2 linked regions of the Sus scrofa genome follow. The protein of the gene in region 1 purifies or fractionates together with the protein of each later gene. This does not show direct contact. Links are inferred from orthologs where the notes say so. Each region holds a gene or a part of one and is shown on either strand. Other genes may lie near its edges.

The links.
Region 2: the proteins of KLF11 (region 1) and SIN3A purify together in Homo sapiens (affinity purification with western blotting, with the first as the bait; 3 studies listed by BioGRID). This does not show direct contact. The link is inferred for Sus scrofa from reciprocal best matches to the Homo sapiens genes KLF11 and SIN3A.

The regions. Positions count from the first base shown.
Region 1 is NC_010445.4:126,421,231-126,430,379, reverse strand, and holds the start of KLF11 (Krueppel-like factor 11), read left to right. Parts: upstream 1-489; 5' UTR 490-644; coding exon 645-686; intron 687-2,214; coding exon 2,215-2,484; intron 2,485-3,836; coding exon 3,837-4,728; intron 4,729-8,788; coding exon 8,789-9,069; 3' UTR 9,070-9,149. UniProt on the Homo sapiens protein: Transcription factor. Activates the epsilon- and gamma-globin gene promoters and, to a much lower degree, the beta-globin gene and represses promoters containing SP1-like binding inhibiting cell growth.
Region 2 is NC_010449.5:58,206,671-58,215,819, forward strand, and holds part of SIN3A (paired amphipathic helix protein Sin3a), read left to right. Parts: intron 1-663; coding exon 664-946; intron 947-1,890; coding exon 1,891-2,142; intron 2,143-3,266; coding exon 3,267-3,419; intron 3,420-3,558; coding exon 3,559-3,717; intron 3,718-5,964; coding exon 5,965-6,054; intron 6,055-8,585; coding exon 8,586-8,704; intron 8,705-9,149. UniProt on the Homo sapiens protein: Acts as a transcriptional repressor. Corepressor for REST. Interacts with MXI1 to repress MYC responsive genes and antagonize MYC oncogenic activities. Also interacts with MXD1-MAX heterodimers to repress transcription by tethering SIN3A to DNA.

The sequences.
Region 1 (9,149 bases):
CTGCCTAATACAAATTTTTTAAAAAGAAAGCAAACTCCAGGTTGAGGCCTCCAAGTGCGCTGCCTCTACTGGACAGATTCACCCCATCCGGACCTGCGCTCTGGCAGGCTTCGGGCAGTGGCCGCTTTAAGCGCTGTCCCCCTCCCCAGCCAGCTCGGGGACTTCCCCTGCCGCAAAGGCGCTGTCCTCTCTGCCCAGCCGCCTCCGCACCGCAGCGGCCAAGCTGCCGCCGGGACCTTTCCCCTACTTTCCAGGGCCTCAGGCCCCGCCCCCTCATCGCGACCAAAACACGTGCCGCGTCCCGCCCTGCCCGATCACGCCGCGGCCAGGCTCTGATCACGCGGCTCCCCGTGGTGCCTATTGGTCGGTGGCGCACGGGCCTGGCGCGGATTGGCTGGCACCTGGCCGGCCCCGCCCCGGAGGGGCGCGGTGTATTTTGGTTTACCTCTGCACCCCGCCCCTCCGGTCGCCCCGCCCCTCCCACGCCGCGAGGGCCGCGCCGAGGCAGAGTGGCGCGGGCGGGCGGAGGCGCGCGCCGGCCGCTGGATCTCCGGCTCGCCGCCGCCCGCCACGCACGTGCGGCAGCTGTCGTGCGCCGAGCTCCCGCCCTGCGGCTGCTTTGTTGCCTCCGGGCCGCCGGCACCATGCTCACGCCGGGCTCTGCGGGCCCGGGCGACGCACACGCGGTGAGTGGTCGCCCATCGGAGAGAGGGGCGAGACGGGGCTGCGCTGCGTGTGCGGACACAGGGTGCGGAGGAGGGTGGGGGCACACGGTCTCGCCGCACCCACACCCTTGAGAGCCCGGGCGGGTTCGGCCGCCTGAAGGGGCGGCGGCCGCGCGAGGTCGCGCCGGGAGGGGCGGGGAGGGGGATGTGCTTCGCACCGCCCCACGCGCAGCTTTTTGTCTAGCGCTCCCGCAGCGGCCCCACCCAGGCAGCCCCAGGTGCGGGGCTATTTGCAGCCATGACGTCATCAGGCCCTGTGAGGAGGTGGCCGTTGGGCGGGGCGCGGCTGGCGGGAACTCGGCTTGCGGGCCGCGGGGGGCGGGGCGCCGGCGGAGAGGCAGGGGCTGTGGGAACTCGGCGCGGGGGGCGGGGTCGAGGGCGGGGGCGGGGCCAAGGCTGGCGGGAAAGCGGGGCGGGGCCAAGGCTGGCGGGAAGGCTGCACGCGCCGGGCGGGCAGCCTCAACCCCTGGGCCGCTCCTGTCCGTGCTGGAGGGCGCTGGCTGAACCTGGTACCGAGTCGTCGAGCCACGGGGACTGCCGAGGGGCCGAGAGAAGGGTCTGGGAGCCCCGCGTCACCCCGTCCCTCCCCTAGCAGGCCTAGCAGGTCTTATTAACCATTTCCACTTCTGTGACTTCACAGTTCTTTCCGGGGACTCGGCCAGAGTGACATCTGTAAGGGCGGCGGCGTCACCTGTGTGCCGCGGGGGGCCCCTGGGCGGGACAGGTTGGGGTTTAGGCAAGCTGAGTGGAAGAGTGTTATCTTCGTAGATGGAAAGGTTCTCGGGGAAGAGATGGGTTGCCTCCAGTCGGTTCCTGCTCTGCTCCCGCTTCAGAGGAGGAGCTGCGCTGGGAAGCCCTCGCCGGCTTGTGGCAAATCTTAGCCGTTCTTCCTCTCCCAGCGCTAGTCCGCGAGGACCGACCCAGGCGCTCCCGGGGGTGGGGACCAGGGCTGAACCGCGCGTTGCTCTCCCGCGCGGGACTCAGCTGAGTGATTCCCTGACGGGTGTGGATGCTCCAGGGTTGTCGCAAATGCATCTGTGGGGACGCTCGGGTGGTTTTGCCGACTCATCTCAGCCAACCTGAGCCATCGGTGTCCTTCCTCCTCCTCCCCCCCGGGAAAGTTTGACATTAGCCATTGGGTTCTCACCTCTGGAAAGGAGTGTTATTAATCATTTCCCAAAGAAAAGCAAGAGCTTAGCAACCGTTGCTAAGAGTCAGGGTGTTCTGGGGAAGCTGCTGACCGGCCCAGTCCATTCCTCCTCCCTCCCTCGGCGAAACACTGGCTTTGGAGCCAAGTGGTCCTCCGAGCTCTGCTGGCTGCTTCCCCACCCCCCAGAGCGCATGCGGTGCTGCGGGCTTGGGGTGGGTGTGGAGTGGGCGCGGGGCAGGTTCCTGGTGTGCATGCCTTCTTCCTCCTTACCGTGGGGGCTGTGCGTGACCCTTTTTGTGCTTCCGGGACTGAAAAGCCATAGTGTTGTGTCGCCTTTAGGTTGACATCATGGACATATGTGAGTCCATCCTGGAGAGGAAGCGGCATGACAGTGAGAGGTCTACGTGCAGCATCTTGGAGCAGAATGACATTGAAGCTGTTGAGGTGCTGGTTTGCATGAGCTCCTGGGGTCAGAGATCCCAAAAAGGGGACCTGTTGAAGATAAGACCGCTCACACCTGTCTCTGACTCTGGCGATATCACCACCACTGTGCCGATGGACTCACCTGCACCTGAGCTACCAAAGGACTTCCATTCTTTATCAACTCTGGTAAGAGGTGGGGGAGGGGGCGGTTTGCGCCTGGTCTAGAGTATCTTTGGTAAATGTGCTAAAGAGCTGCTGGGTAGATTCACCAGGATGCTGGCAAGCAAGTTCATACCCCCCTCTATGTGGGTCTTAAGGGTGAAAGCTGCTTTTATCTCTTGAAAATATGCTTTCCATTAATAGAGCATAGCTTGTAGCCACAGGGTGTAAATGTCCATAGGGTGAAACTATAGATTGATGTGGAAGAGCAAAATGTAGTCATTTTCCTGGGAAACCCGTAGGTTGAGGGCTCCAGTCCAGGAGCAGGATCTGTGGGTGGCAGCAGGGGAAAGCCTCTACTTTGCACCAGGCAGCCTTCATTAGCTGGGGTGAAATCCTGGGTCTCTGCCTCCCTTATGGGAGCCAATTTCTTTCTTGTGTGAGTTGGGTGCCGTCAGACACTGGCTTTTGTTTTTGTTTTGTTGTTACCGCAAACGGCAGCAAAGTTACTGGGAAGCACTGCCTCTCCACTTGGAGAAGTTGAAAGCTGTCAGTTGCCAACAAAACGGAAATTTTTGATCTGGCTGTTCTGGGCTGGTATCTTGCACTGGAAGGATGGGGCAGAACACTGACTTGTGGGGTGGGAAGGCACTTGTGGCAGCAGAGAGGATTGTACAAGGAGTGGGCCTGGCTGCGGGGGGGGGCACCTCTCAGAGTTACTTGGCATTGGGTTGAAAATAAGTGGGAGCTGTTTGTAGGGAGAAGTGGTACAAAGAGAGTCTTGGTTTAGGCCAAACCCCTGGTTAAAGCATGGCCTTTGGGGGATCGTTCTCCTAGGTTTTATTTTGTATCTAGTAGGCATTGAATGAGTGTGTGACGGATTGGATGGGGTGTGATCAATTGGTTGGATAGGTGTGTGATTGGATGAGTGTGTGTTTGATGGGGTAGGTGTGTGATCGATTGGATAAGGGTGTTAAATGATTATCACTGAGACTTTTTTAAAAACTTTGAGATTCTGATACTATTTTTTGAGATTCTGTATAAAGTTCTCATTTTGACTGTAAGTTTGATTCTTCATTTGTAGTCCTGATACTTAAATTGTTCACTTCAGTAGCTGTGCGAGCCCAGGAACAGCACCGGCGTCCTCACAGTGGAGCAGATGGATGGGTTGGCAGAGGTCGGGAAAGCGGGAGAAGGCAGGAAAGTTAGGTGCCTCCAGCAGGCTGTACATCCATTGGGTGCGATTGGGAGCAGACTTTGACCAATCTTTTCTAGATACTTCTTTGTAAAGACTTCGGGGGCAACATGATCAAAGTAAGTTCCTTAAAATTTAACCAAAATAACCTTTTCACACAGCACTTTTTTTTTTTTTTTTTAAGTGCATGACTCCTCCTCAGAGCCCTGACCTCACGGAGCCATCAACAGGGACACTTGGTCCTTCCCAAGTAACTGATTCCAAAGCCCCCATGGTCATGGCTGGCCCCTCAGCCTCTCGTGGGGGAGCCCCCCCTCCCTGCAGGGCCATGGTGACAAGTGTCATTTGCTACACCGGGGGGACTCCTGCCCACACTCCTACCACTCAGGCTCAAGAGCACCACCTTTCAGCCAACAGAGAAGCGGAAGCCCGGTGTCTGGAACACACCGAAGCTTTGCCGGACACACGCCTCACAGACAGTTTGCTCACCGTTAACGCGGTGTCCTGCCAGCCTTGCTCACACAAGTCTGGCGGCCTGACCTCCACCGACGACAAGAGCCCGCAGGCAGGGTGGCCTGTTGCGGTTCCGATCTGCTCACCAAAGAATCATGACAGTGACTTGCCAAGGAAAGCCACCCCTCTGATTTCTGTCCCTACGGCTAGTCCCCCTGTCCTTTGCCAGATGCTCCCTGTGACTGGACAAAGTGGCGTGTTAGCCGCTTTGCTGAAGCCTCCTCTCCCAGTGTCTACAGGGACTGCCAAACCCATCTTGCCCCATGCTGCTCCAGTCCCCCAGCCTGTGTTCGTGGGACCGTCCATGCCTCCGGGGGCTGTGATGTTGGTTCTGCCCCAGGGGGCCCTGGCCCAGCCCGCCACGTGCTCATCGAGCGCCCTGGCCGTGGCGAGTGCCAGGTTCTTGCCGCTCGCCCCTGCGCCCGTGTTCATCGCATCCAGTCAGAGCTGCGCCCCTCAGGTCGACTTTTCCCGCAGGAGGAACTATGTGTGCAGCTTCCCGGGCTGCCGGAAGACCTACTTCAAAAGCTCCCATCTCAAGGCCCACCTTCGCACTCACACAGGTGAGCACTGAGGCAGGTGGGGCGTCGGGAGGAAGGTCAGATCCCACGTCCGGGACACACTGAGCCTCCGCAGGGTGAGAGTGAAGCATGAGAACCATGGAGAAGGTGGCCCTGTTTCTTTGGTTCTGAAAAGTCTTCATAGCCTCGGGGTTGACATTAGCAGAGCCATCGGTGGTTTTCTAGAACTTGCTGTCTGCTCATCCCGGTAGATGCGGCGCAGTGCAGTCTTAGGATTGTGATCCTCAGGTCGACAGGCTGGGGGAGCGAGGCTCACGTTGCCCCTTTTCTTCACGTTGCAGTCAGTCGGCATCTCATTCTTCCTTTCATTTTAGAAAATAGGCATTTGTGCTCAACACGTGTTTTATTAGCGTGATTGCAGTTTTTTCTGGGGAAAGAGCTTTACAATCTATGGGAAAAATTGAATTCTAGGCTATTTGCACTTTAAGGGCATGTCGTTTTTTTGCTTTGGGAAATATGTAGTTTTTAATTTGGAAGAAGTCGCAAGAGAAACTGTAATGACTTAGTCTCTCTAGTGTCCCATCAGCTTCATCCAATAGAATTTTCTGCAGGGACGGAAATGTCCTCTGTTGGTTAGGGGAGCAGCCACTGGCCACTTGGACTTGAAATGGGAACAGTGTGGCAGAGGGACTGAGTTGCACATTCTCATTAAGTTTGTGTTTATGTAGTTACTTGTAGCTACCCTACTGTGTAACAGAAGGGTGAAGTTGCCTGGTAGGTAGTTTTTTGTTTTATCTTGTCTTGGTTTTTTTGTTTGTTTGTTTGTTTTTTCGCTTTTTTGGACTCCACCTGCAGCATATGGAGGTTCCCAGGCTAGGGGTCGAATCAGAGCTGCAGCTGCCGGCCTGCGCCACAGCCACAGCAACGCAGGATCCGAGCCATGTCTGTGACCTACACCACCGCTCATGGCAACGCTGGATCTTTAACTCACTGAGCAAGGCTAAGGATCAGATCGCATCCGCATGGATTCTAGTTGGGTTCATTACCACTCAGCACTACAGGAACTCCACGGTAGGTAGTTGATTAGGCCAGAGGTCTCAGGTGTTCCGCTTAGTGTCCGTTGTTTTGTTTTCAAGGGTCCTGCGGTCTGCGAAACTCACCTTTCAAAGGTTCACACAGGCACGTACATATAAGCACAGAAACAGGTTGCATGGTCTGCAGTAAAGCTGTGTTTCATTAACTCTTGATCGTGGAACCCCCTCCACCAGAGTGTCTGCTCGTGGCCTGTGCGCCAGCAGTGAACTGTGGAACGTAGCTGCAGAGAGGATGAGCTGTTGGCAGTTTTTAGGGTACTTCACCCCAAAATGCATTTGAGCTGGAGTGCTTTCTAATTACCATGTCAGGACGCGAATCGCGGCAGCTCCTGCTTGCAGAATGAAGCGGAGCCTGGAACACAGGCCTTTGAAAGGAGCTCTGCTGCTTCCACACGGCGGGGCGGGCTCTTCGCTTCAGGGGTAAGGCCCGAGCCTGGCCGGTGCCAAGCTTGCCTCTCCGCCTTAACCTTTTCTCTCCCGATTGTCCTTCATCCCCGCCCTCCGCCTGTCCCTGCTCCCTGACGCCTTCAGCTCCACCCCCCCCCCCCGGCCTTCTCTTTTTGATTTTTGATTTGTGACTTAGCTACTCGTGTGCTCTCACTGGATGCCCACTCTCAGTGTCTGGCGTAAGAGACTGACACCAGTACACGATCCTGGGCCTCGGTGCCACGGGGGCCGTCGGGGCTATATCCGCTTCAGCGGGCGCTCGGGCTCGTGGACCCGGCAGGCTAGGTTTCCACTGAGCGAGCCTCAGGTCCCGCCTAAACACCGATGCCACCACATGTGAGGAAGCAGTGGCATGAGGTTTATTCAGCCAGCTTTCCGTGGTAGAAATACTGATGTGATGGCATAAAATAAGATGATCAGACAAGCTCGCTTCACATTTCCCGAAGTACTTAAAGTAACCATGAGTGAGCTGAAGAATCAACTTCTTTTTTTTTTTTTTGTCTTTTGTCCTTTTAGGGCTGAACCTGAGGCATATGGAGGTTCCCAGGCTAGGGGTCGAAGCTGTAGCCGGTGGCCTATGCCAGAGCCGCAGCAACGCCGAATCCTTAACCCACTGAGCGAGGCCAGGGATCGAACCCACAGCCTCATGGTTCCTAGTCGGATTCGTTTCTGCTGTGCCACAACAGGAACTCCAAGAATCAACTTCTTGTGCTATTTTTTGTAAACACGAAATTGGAGTTTTCCTAAGAAATAGAAATGTTAGATAAGTTTACCTTAGATGAGAGTTCTTCCTCTGCCAATCTGAACTTTCTCTTTTTTTCTTGCTTTTTAGGGCTGCCCCCTCGGCATATGGACGTTCTCAGGCTAGAGGTTGAATCGAAGCTGCAGCCTCCAGCCTACACCACAGCCACAACAACTCCGGATCTGAGACGTGTCTGCAACCTATGCGACAACTCATGGCAACACTGGATCCTTAACCCACTGAGCGAGGCCAGGGATGGAACGAACCTGCGTCCTCATGGATCCTAGTCAGATTCATTTTTGCTGAGCCACGATGGGAACTCCTGAGATTTTTTTTAATTAGGGTAAGGTAGAGTGAGGAATTCTCAGGATTAAGGATACGGCGTTGTCACTGCTATGGCGCAGGTTTGATCCTTGGCCCCGGAACTTCCGCATGCCTTGGACTTGGCCCAAAGAAGAGAGAGAGGATAAGGTAGAGTAAGGAAGGGCAACGTTTTTGGTGTGTTGGAAACATAGGACACTTTAGGGAGTTCCCATTGTGGCTCAGTGGGTTATGAACCCAACTCGTAACCATGAGCTTGCGGGTTCCATCCCTGGCCTCGCTCAGTGGGTTAAGGATCAGGTGTTGCTGCGAGCTGTGGGGTAGGTCATAGATGCGGCTTGGATCTGGCATGGCTGTGGCATAGGCTGGTAGCTGCAGCTCTGGTTCGACCTACAGCTGGGAACCTCCATATGCCATAGGCGCAGCCCTAACAAAGAAAAAAAAGAACGAAAACATAGGACACTTTATAAATCCCATGCCAAAGGGTTGTTTTCTGTCCAACATCTGGCCATCTGGTATGCTGCCAGCAGAGGTGGTAGTTTCCTGGAAACAGGTAACCTCACAGGTAACCTTACACTTAGAACGTGGGGTCTTTGAAATCTGTGAAGTTCGGGCCCTTGTTTCTTAAAATGGTGCATAAGCGTTGCGAGGCTGAATTTTCCTGTTAATTCAGTTTTGAAAAACGTTGCATATTTAGTTGATGTCTTTTCCACACTCATTCACTGCCTGTCAGACAGAGTGCTGTGCCAGGGGCTGAACTGTGCAGAGAAGGATGAACTAGCAAGTCCTCAGCCTTTGGGAGGGTAGGTCACATGACACAGAAGAGCATTTGGCAAATCCATTCATGCACAAGCCGTATGTGATTGTCACAACCTGGCCCAGTTAAGGGCTTCAGGATGCAGGAAAGGGAGCACTCCTACTGGCTGGAGAGGCCCAGGAGGAGCCCGGAGAAGGGCTCCCTGGCTCATCGCCGTACCGCCAGGTGGACGTGGTAGGGACCCCTGCCCAGTACTCTGGAACTTGGAATGATGATGCCTGAAGCTTGGAACGAGAGATAGGAAGGTAGCTGTTCAAATTCCACCCTGTTTGGTAATTAGCCTCTTTGTCAAGGTAGTGCGAATGTGAGGGGGATGGATTCTGAGGCGTCTGAAGGTCCTGGGAGGGACTCTTGTAGATGTGCAACTTCTGAGAGGGAAGGAAATTATTCCTTTCAAGAGTCTTTCTCCTATTCCAAGCTAACTGTCAAAGATTTATTTTCATTTAAAAATGTCTTTAGAAGGATGAGTTTGAGGGCTTTGGCCCCTGCCGCATCCAGTCTCGGGTGTGGCAGGGAGACAGAGTCTTGGGGGATTCCTTGACTTCCAGACAATCTGATGCCAGAACAGTAGGCTACTCCTTGCTTCTTGGGTTTCGGTGAACCAGGTTTTAAAACGACACGAATTGGCCTACTCAGCGAGGTGCTGAGCATTGACTTCCTGTGCCTTCTCTCCCCTCTTAGGAGAGAAGCCTTTCAGCTGCAGCTGGGATGGCTGCGACAAGAAATTCGCTCGTTCAGATGAACTCTCTCGCCACCGCAGAACTCACACTGGGGAGAAGAAGTTCGTGTGCCCCGTGTGCGAGCGGCGGTTCATGCGCAGCGACCACCTGACCAAGCACGCCCGGCGCCACGGGAGCACCCGCAGGGTCCCCAGCTGGCAGGCGGAGGTGGGCAAGCTGAGCAGAATGGCCTCGGCCGAGCCCCCGGGGAGCCCGCTGCTGTGCAGGCCGGCCTCGGCCTGACGGGCGCGCTGGGGCCCGCGGAGGGGGTCTGTAAAAGCCTCTTTCAGGACTGGAGCGGATGGTTTTCCCTCCAAAAAAAA
Region 2 (9,149 bases), on another chromosome or scaffold:
AGGAGGATATAGCTTATTCTCATCTGCTGAAAGATAAAGGATGCTGTTTTGCGGGGGGCTTCATTTCCAGGGTCATGCTTTTATTTTGTGTGTTGCTTTATTTATGAAAATTGAATACTCTGAACCTTTGTTTTCTGCATAAAATTTTTCCTAGTACTTCATCTCAGGGAAGTAAACTAGTAATGACTTGGCTACTTGCTTTTTGGACTGATTTAACTTACACTAATAGTCTGGCATGGTTCACTGTTATAAAAGAGTAATTCATCTGAACAGTGTGGATACATGATTTATTCTGGTGTGTGGGGATTACAGTTTTAGACTTATTTTCTGAGTATCTGCTTGATAGGACTGTTACCATACATGAATGTATATTCTGTTTAGAATCGTGACCAAGCCTCTTTGAATATGAAGCTAAATGACTTTGGAATTTCAGAGTTTTTGTGTGTCATTACTTTTGTAATATTCATGTTGATTTTTTATTTTCCTGCATGGTAGAGAATCTAGTGGAATGTGAATTTTTTTCTTGGTAGAGTGTTTGTCAAGCTTGCCACTTTAATGTGTGTGTGTGTGTGTGTGTGTGTGTGTGTGTTTATATATATATATACACATATATATATTTATATTTATATATATGTTTGTTTTTTTTTTTTTTTTTTTAATCAGCATTGACACTCCAGGAGTGATTAGTCGTGTGTCCCAGCTGTTCAAAGGCCACCCTGACCTGATCATGGGCTTCAATACCTTCTTGCCCCCTGGCTACAAGATTGAGGTGCAAACCAATGACATGGTGAATGTGACAACTCCTGGCCAGGTTCATCAGATCCCCACCCATGGCATCCAGCCCCAGCCTCAACCACCACCCCAGCATCCTTCCCAGCCTTCAGCCCAGTCTGCTCCAGCTCCTGCCCAGCCAGCTCCTCAGCCCCCACCTGCCAAAGTCAGCAAGGTGAGCACTTGGAAAACTTTGCACCGTGTAACATACATCCCTAGAAAGCACCCTCCTTTGGCATTTTCCACTTGTATAAGACTTAGATATTCAAGTTAAAATTTTATCGGTGAAGATGCGGTAGTCACATCCCTATAATGTGGCACATGTTCACATAACACATAATTATTTATATATCTGTTTAAATCAACACCTCAACAACCTGCAAGGACTCTTTTTGCCCCCAACTTCGGCTTTTTGAATCCATGAGCATGCCAACAGATGGCAACTTTGTGTGGTAGTATTTGAATAGCACAGGCAGAAACGGTCATCTTATGATCAGTTGTCTCTGTGGTCATGATTTTACAAGATTTACGTCATTTACCAGGTTAGGTTATAGCAAGCTAAACGGAAGATCTTGATAATAGTGGTGGTGATGGTGATGATGGAGTGTTTTACTTAAAAGAAATGCAGCTTTTCAATTTCACTAGCTAAATTTAAAGTGCTCAGTAGCCTCATTTGGATGTCATGCAATATAGAGAACTCTGTTGGGCAGAGCTGGTTGAGAAGACTTTTTTTTAAATATGAATTTATTGCAATAGTTGAATTGTCTTCTGGACATTAAAGATCTATGTAGAATGAGGTTTCTTTCCCTATTCTATGTGTACCTATTGAGCAAGTGAGCTAAATATTGCATATGAAAAATTCTTCCCTATAATTGGAGATATAGCCTACTTTTAAGGTTGTATTTAGAACATTTGAGACTGAATTTTTGTATTACAATGTATGAATCCTCTACACTTCCAACCTTGCCCTTTGTGATTTGAATTGGGCTAAAATGGCCTGGCCAGAGTGAGTAAAGTATGTAAGTCGATCGGACACTTTATTTCTCTTTAGTTTGAACTTTCTTTCCTGTGGTAAACCATCTGTGTTCCTGAGGAGAATAAAGACTTTTTTCTTTTTAGCCTTCCCAACTACAAGCACATACTCCAGCCAGTCAGCAGACTCCCCCTCTCCCACCATACGCATCCCCACGTTCTCCACCTGTCCAGCCTCATACACCAGTGACAATCTCGTTGGGAACAGCCCCGCCCTTGCAGAACAATCAGCCTGTGGAGTTTAACCATGCCATCAACTATGTCAATAAGATCAAGAACAGGTTCCAGGGCCAACCAGACATCTACAAAGCATTCCTGGAGATTTTGCACACATATCAGGTAAGACTGTTGCCTTTTCACCCTGTCTTAACCAGGTTGTCCTCTGTGGACATCTATTCAGAGAAGAATGTAAATAACCATTATTGTGGCCACGAATTCTTACTGGAAATTAACCTGTTAGAAATTGCATTCATAAAGCTAGTTTGATTTGCCTGACTTCAATTTTAATTGAATTTTAGCAGCCAGTCACAGTTTTCAAAGTCACTGCTCTGTGAGATGGATGCTTATTTATCTGGAAAGTTTAAATGATGATTTGGGTGGTATAGTTAATTTACAGTAGAATAAAAAGAAATTTCTCTAGTATTTTGTGTTTTATCATTCGGGAGTGGTCTGTCTTGAACATTCACATATACTGCTCTGGTTTTATTTATTTATTTATTTATTGCTTTTTAGGGCTGTACCCACAGCATATGGAAGTTTCCAAGCTAGGGGTCGAATCGGAGCTGCAGCTGCCACAGCCATAGCAATGTAGGATCCAAGCTGTATCTTCAACCTGCACCATAGCTCACAGCAACCAGTGCGGGATCCTTAACCCACTGAATGAGACCAGGTATCAAAGCTTCATCCTCATGGATACTAGTTGGGTTTGTAACCTTCTGAGCCACAACAGGAACCCCCACTGCCCTAGTTTTAAAAGGAATTAAGTCTCAGCCGCCATCTTCCACTTATTTCTCAACTTAAAAACTAGAGGCTAGAACAGGTGCTAAAACATAGTCTTTCTTTCCTCTTAAGTACAGCCCAAAAGTCGGTAAAATACAGAGCTCCTGTCAGACATCTCAGAAAGTGTGCAAAAGTGAGTCATTCAAAACAGTGGCCCTTGGGGTTCCCGTCATGGCTCAGCCATTAACAAACCTGACTAGTATCCATGAGGACGAGGGTTCGATCTCTGGGTTAAGGATCCGGCATTGCCGTGAGTTGTGGTGTAGGTCGCAGACGCAGCTCTGATCTGGCATTGCTGTGGCTGTAGTGTAGGCCAGCAGCTATAGCTCTAATTCAACCCCTAGCCTGGGAACTTCCATATCTCTTGGGTGCAGCCCTAGAAAGACAAAAACAAAACAAAAACAAAAAACAAAGAAACAGTGGCTCTCTAATATGATCTCTTCCCATTTACAATTTCCTATTAGAAAGAGCAGCGAAATGCCAAGGAAGCTGGAGGAAACTACACTCCAGCGTTGACTGAGCAGGAGGTGTATGCCCAGGTGGCTCGTCTTTTTAAAAATCAGGAAGATCTGTTGTCAGAATTTGGACAGTTCCTACCAGATGCCAACAGCTCCGTGGTAAGTTTTATTTAGAACTGCGCTATTGAGAATGGTTAGCTCAGATAAGTTAGGGAGCTGGAATCAGAAGGAGACTTTTTCTGAAAGGTACTTTTTTGCTTTGATAAAAACATTAATCTTTTTCATGTGTCTTAATTAGCTTTTAAGCAAAACAACTGCTGAGAAGGTGGATTCCGTGAGAAATGACCATGGAGGCACTGTAAAGAAGCCTCAACTAAACAACAAGCCACAGAGGCCCAGCCAGAATGGCTGCCAGATCCGCAGACACTCTGGAACAGGAGCCACCCCTCCAGTGAAGGTGAGAGTGGGTGCAGCTGCTTATTTCGACTTCCTGGAACGATTCTAGTGGGCACGTGCTCAAGGTTTGACAGTTAGATCCTGATATTCAGAGTTGGTTTATGTCTCAGAACTCAATGCAAAACTTTTTACCTGGCCTTGTGAAAGAATGTTAGAATACTGCTTTGCTTTTGTTTTGTTTTTTTTTAGGTCCATACCCACGGCATATGAAAGTTCCCAGTTCCCAGGCTAGGGGTTGAGAATCAGAGTTACAGCTGCTGGCCTACACTAGCAGTGCGGGATCCAAGCTGCAGTCTGCCACATACACCACAGCTCACGGCAATGCTGGATCCCCAACCCACTGAGCAAGGCCAAGGATGGAACCCGCATCCTCATGGGGTGACTAGTCAGATTTGATATCATTGTACCACAATGGGAACTCCCAGAATACTGCTAATTGTTCAGATTACTGTGCTTTTTTGAGTTCTTAATGGTTTTCCGTATGTTTTCTCTCTTCTTTGTGGTTAACTCTCATCTATTTTTTGTTTGTTTCTGCCAAGGGTTTCTGAGACTTAATTTTTCCCTTCTTGATTTGATGCCTTAAGCCTGCTTTGTGCTAAGTAAGATTATTAAGTTCGATAATTGTTCCCAAAATAAGTCAGTGGTCTCTGAGGTTCTTTTGTGAGTAAAGTGCATATGCTTTGTGGGATCTCTTCTTCGGTTTAGAGACCTATCCTGCTCAAGGTTCTTTTGGGTTGCCACATCTTACCTGTATCATCTTAATCTCCAAGGAGGAACTTTGGGCTGTAACAGGGTGGTCTTAAACTCCTCTTAGTGACCTATCTCATGATGCTTCTTGTTACAGCCAATACTGATGGTCTGCCTGCAAAAAGCTGAGCCCACTCCCTTTCTCTTTAATATGGGGCACCTGTGCTAGGGAGCAGACTAGGTGTATGTATTGAATGTTGAATTCTAACATATAGCATTGAAGAGATAGATGTGTCCGCAGAATTTAATTAAAGAATAAAAGCTAGTGTAACTTCTTACGGTAAGAAATGACCGAGGGAGTTCTTGTTGCAGTTCAGCAGGTTATGAACCTGACTGGTATCATTGAGTTCAGTCCCTGGTCTTGCTCAGTGGGTTAAGGATCTGACATTGCTGTGAGCTGTGGTGTAGGTCACAGACGCAGCTCAGATTGTGAATTGCTGAGGCGCAAGCCAGCAGCTGTAGCTCTGATTCCACCCCTAGCCTGGGAATTTCCATGTACCTCAGGTGTGGCCCTAAGAAGCAAAAAAAAAAAAAGGACTGATAAACCAGCAAATGACCGCAAAGACTGACCTGTTATGGATTGCTGACACTTTGAAGAACTATTTTTCAATGTTTTTAATAGTTTCTCCTTTTGGAAGCAAGTTGAACATAGCAGTAGTTTATATTTCCTCACTTTAGTAAGGAGTGTTTTATGAGTAGTAAGAACAGGTCAGGAGACATGCTTCAATCTTGGTCTCCTCCCACACTTGATGACCCACAGGTGGAAACACTATATTGGGAGGTTAGAATTCCCTATCTGCCTTCTCCTTAGGCAATATAAGTAGAGGCTGTGGCTCCTGCGAGAGAGTGTTCTCCAAGGTGGCGGAGGTTAATGTGCAGCTTCTCCCAAAGTTTGTGCATTTCTTGACATGTAGTTTAGAGGTGGCTTTTTTAAAGTAAATTTTTTGCTTGGTAGTTATATCATGGCCTATTCATTTGATTTGAAAGAGCAGTCTTAACTCTGGTTTGAGTGGCTTCTGCCAGCAAGGTAATTATTCCTTCTAATAGGAAAATATACTGCTTTTTTCGTGAATTTTCAAACTGATTAAAAGGTGAAGGTTAAAGATTGATTTCTATGTACTCCAGCTCTTTTTAAAAACTTTTCTGCCTCCACAGCTAAGAAGACAAGGCATTGGCATTAGGTTCTAAATTTTTTTGCCTATGGAAAAAGTAAGGATATTAATTCTAACATCATAGTAGTGCTGTGACCATTTATAGAGAGTATTTGGGGAGTAGAATGATCTGTGAACCTCTAGGAAAAAACCGACGGCAATCTGAAATAGAAAAGAGTGGAAATCTTTCAGGATGTAAGGCAAGTTAGTGACTTGGATTCTCTTATTTGTTGCAAATTACTAATCAGTGGCGGATTAGTGATGGAACTATCAAACAGAGATGAAAACGAAACTCAGAAAACTTCTTTGAATCTTATGTGTCTGTCCTGTATTCTTCCTTTTTTTTGCAGAAGAAACCCAAACTGCTCAGTCTCAAGGATTCTTCTATGGCAGATGCCAGCAAGCATGGTGTAGGAACGGAATCGTTATTTTTTGATAAGGTGAGTGTTGAATGAATTGGATTTAATATCAGCTCTTAATGCCCAAAGAAAATAACCTCGTCCCCCAAAAGATTTTGTTTTAGAGACATCAAGATAATTAGGTAGGACTTTTTTTTTTTTTTTTTTTTTTTTTAAGGATTTTCTACTTTTTAACAGTTTCCAAATTGTAGGTCCTTTCAGTCTATGAGAACTATTAGCACAGCTAGAGAAATGGTAGCATTGACTGCTTGGGTTTTGTGAAGTAGTTTGAAGCAAAATATAGCATTTGCCATCATGGAAGAAAGCTTTTAAAAAAGGCATATTGCTCTCAAAAGATGTTTGGAGCTCCTCATTGTAGATGCCCAGAACTATATAGTGAGGAGTGTCAGTATACTAATTATTGAGGACTTAAGATGACTTGTAACCTTCTAATTGTTATACTTGTTCGAGGTATGGCATATAGGGTTAATGGGAATTCTGATTTCCTTGTATGTTTTCAAAGCTCCCCAGGTGATTCTAATGAGCAGACAGGGTTGCGATTACAGGTGTAGTCAGTGTTGTGTGGTGTGTGAGTCTGACTTCCTCCTTGGAGTCAGTTTAATTAGCAGGCTACTTTTATCATAGTGGCTAGCAAACTTCAGACTTCTCACTGGCTGGAGCCAGCCTGGATTGATCTGGTGGTGACTTACCGTGTCTTGCATCCTTGGGTTTTTGCCGAAGGGCAAATGATTATCTCCAGAATTGGTGCCTCTCGATTTGTCTCTAGCCCTCCTGTGCCTATGCGAGCTGTGCTGCAAAATAGTCCCTGGCTCTAGCTTTGACCTGAACCATTTCTGAGGGCTCTCTGGGCCTTTGGGGCTTTTGAGGCAGATGTGAAGTCCAGGTCACAACTGACAAATGGCAAAGAAAGGGTAAGAGAGGGGGACTGAATAAGTTAATTTTTTTAAAGAGTAGTATTTTTTATTGCTGTTTTTGAAGTACTTGTTTCTTAGAGATGACTGAAGTGTGTATAGCTGAAAAGTCTGGAGTTTGCTTTAGAATTCAGTGGTGGGGGAAATGGGTGTAGATGAAACAAAATTTACTGTGTATTGATTGTTGAGGCTGGCTCAGTATATAGGGTTTATTAGACTATTCTGTCTACTTTTGTATAAGTTTAAAACTAACAGAGGAATTTCCGCCGTGGCTCAACAGAAACTAATCTGACTAGTATCCATGAGGACGCAGGTTTGATCCCTGGCCTTGCTCGATGGGTTAAGGATCCGGTGTTGCCCTGAGCTATGGTGTAGGTTGCAGACATGGCTCAGATCTGGTGTTGTTGTGGCTGTGGTGTAGGCCAGCAGCTACAGCTCCCATTTGACCCCTAGCCTGGGAACCTCCATATGCCGTGGATGCGGCCTTAAAAAGACAAAAAAATAAATAAAATAAATTTCGTTATGTTTTCACCCAGTGATTTATCTGGGCATGGGTTTGCAGAAATTGAAAATGGAAGAAATCAAAACAGCTAATTAAAAAATTTAAAAATATATATTAAGTAAAATTAATAATAAAAGCTAACAAATTAAAGTAATAGTATATATTCATCTTTTGCCTTGAAAATCCATATTCCATATAGTGTCTACCGATTGATAGTTATGAAAAGTATATGAGAGCCTGGGGAAGGGGTTTTTTGATAAACTACCGGGTTTGGTGAGTGAGGGTCTGCAATCCCCACAGTGCTAGATATATACACTTTTGACATTGAAACTCTAGATTGCTTATCTAGCCAGGCAAGTTTTACTGTGTCTATGCCACTGAACCTTTTTTTTTTTTTTTGGCCACACCTGGTGTGTGGAAGTCTCCAGGCTAGGGATCAAACCCATACTGCTGTTGCAACCTGTACCATAACTGTGGCCAGTACTGGATCCTTAACCCACTGTGCCACATGGAAACTTCCTGAACACCTAGGTTTTTGGATATTAAAATGCTTATTAGTGTTCTGAATGGAGGAAGGGAAAAGATCAAGTCAGAGGACAAAAGTACCTTATTTTAAAAGGTCATTATTCAAGATTACCAGAGTTTGAAAAGAGTGTTTATAAAGATTCTTGTATAAAGTCAGGAGAGGCAGCAGAATCTTGGGTAACTCTGATAGGGTGTGGAAAATCAAGCATGTAAAAATGTAAATGTCTTGTTTACTTCAAGGTCTCATTTTCCAAATTTTTATGGAAAATTTAAAACAAATGTGAAATTAAAGAGAATAGTAAAATGACCCTTCATATACCCATCATCCAGCCTCAGCAGTTCTTAGCTCCTAGTCGGTGTACTATTTGATGTGCACACAGCTATCCCAGATTATTTGGAGACAAATCCCACATGATATATTATTTCAACTGTAGGTATTTTACTAGGTTTCTTTTAAAATGATACCTTTTTTCCAAACATTATCGCATCTAAAAAACCTAGCATTGATTCCTTAATATCATCAAATAGCAGTTCAAATTTCCCCAATTTTAAACACAATCCAGGATCTCTTGATTCCCCACTTAACTATTTTTCCTTTCGATTGTCTCCATAAGGTCCGAAAGGCTCTGCGGAGTACAGAGGCCTATGAAAATTTCCTGCGCTGTCTTGTTATTTTTAACCAGGAGGTGATCTCTCGGGCTGAGCTTGTGCAGTTAGTCTCTCCTTTCCTGGGGTAAGTGGAATCAAGGGCTTAGCCTTGATGCCTGATATGGAGGTGAAATAAAACCTAGTTTGTGGGAGTACATGGTAGGTGAAATTAATTTGATTTTGGCAGGTCAGTTGACTCCTAAAATGTCCATGACAAGAGTCCTCTGGGAAGTCTTCTAGTTCCTCTCTGGAGACAAAAAAGTAGGCGAAGAAGGCATTGGCCAAGACTATGGTCTCCTGATCTCCTGACCGGTATTGGCTGTTTATAAAGCCAGTCTTTTCCAGGGTTATAGAATCCTGGCTTTGACAAATTAAGAATTATCTGAACATTGAAGCAATAATCTTGATTAGAAGAATGGCTCGTTATTGTCTAGTTTCAGTGCAGTTCTTCCATCACTACCTTAACTGATCTTTAGAGAAAGAGAAGAAAAGGAGAAACCACATATTCAGAAGAGTAGTGCTTCTTAGGC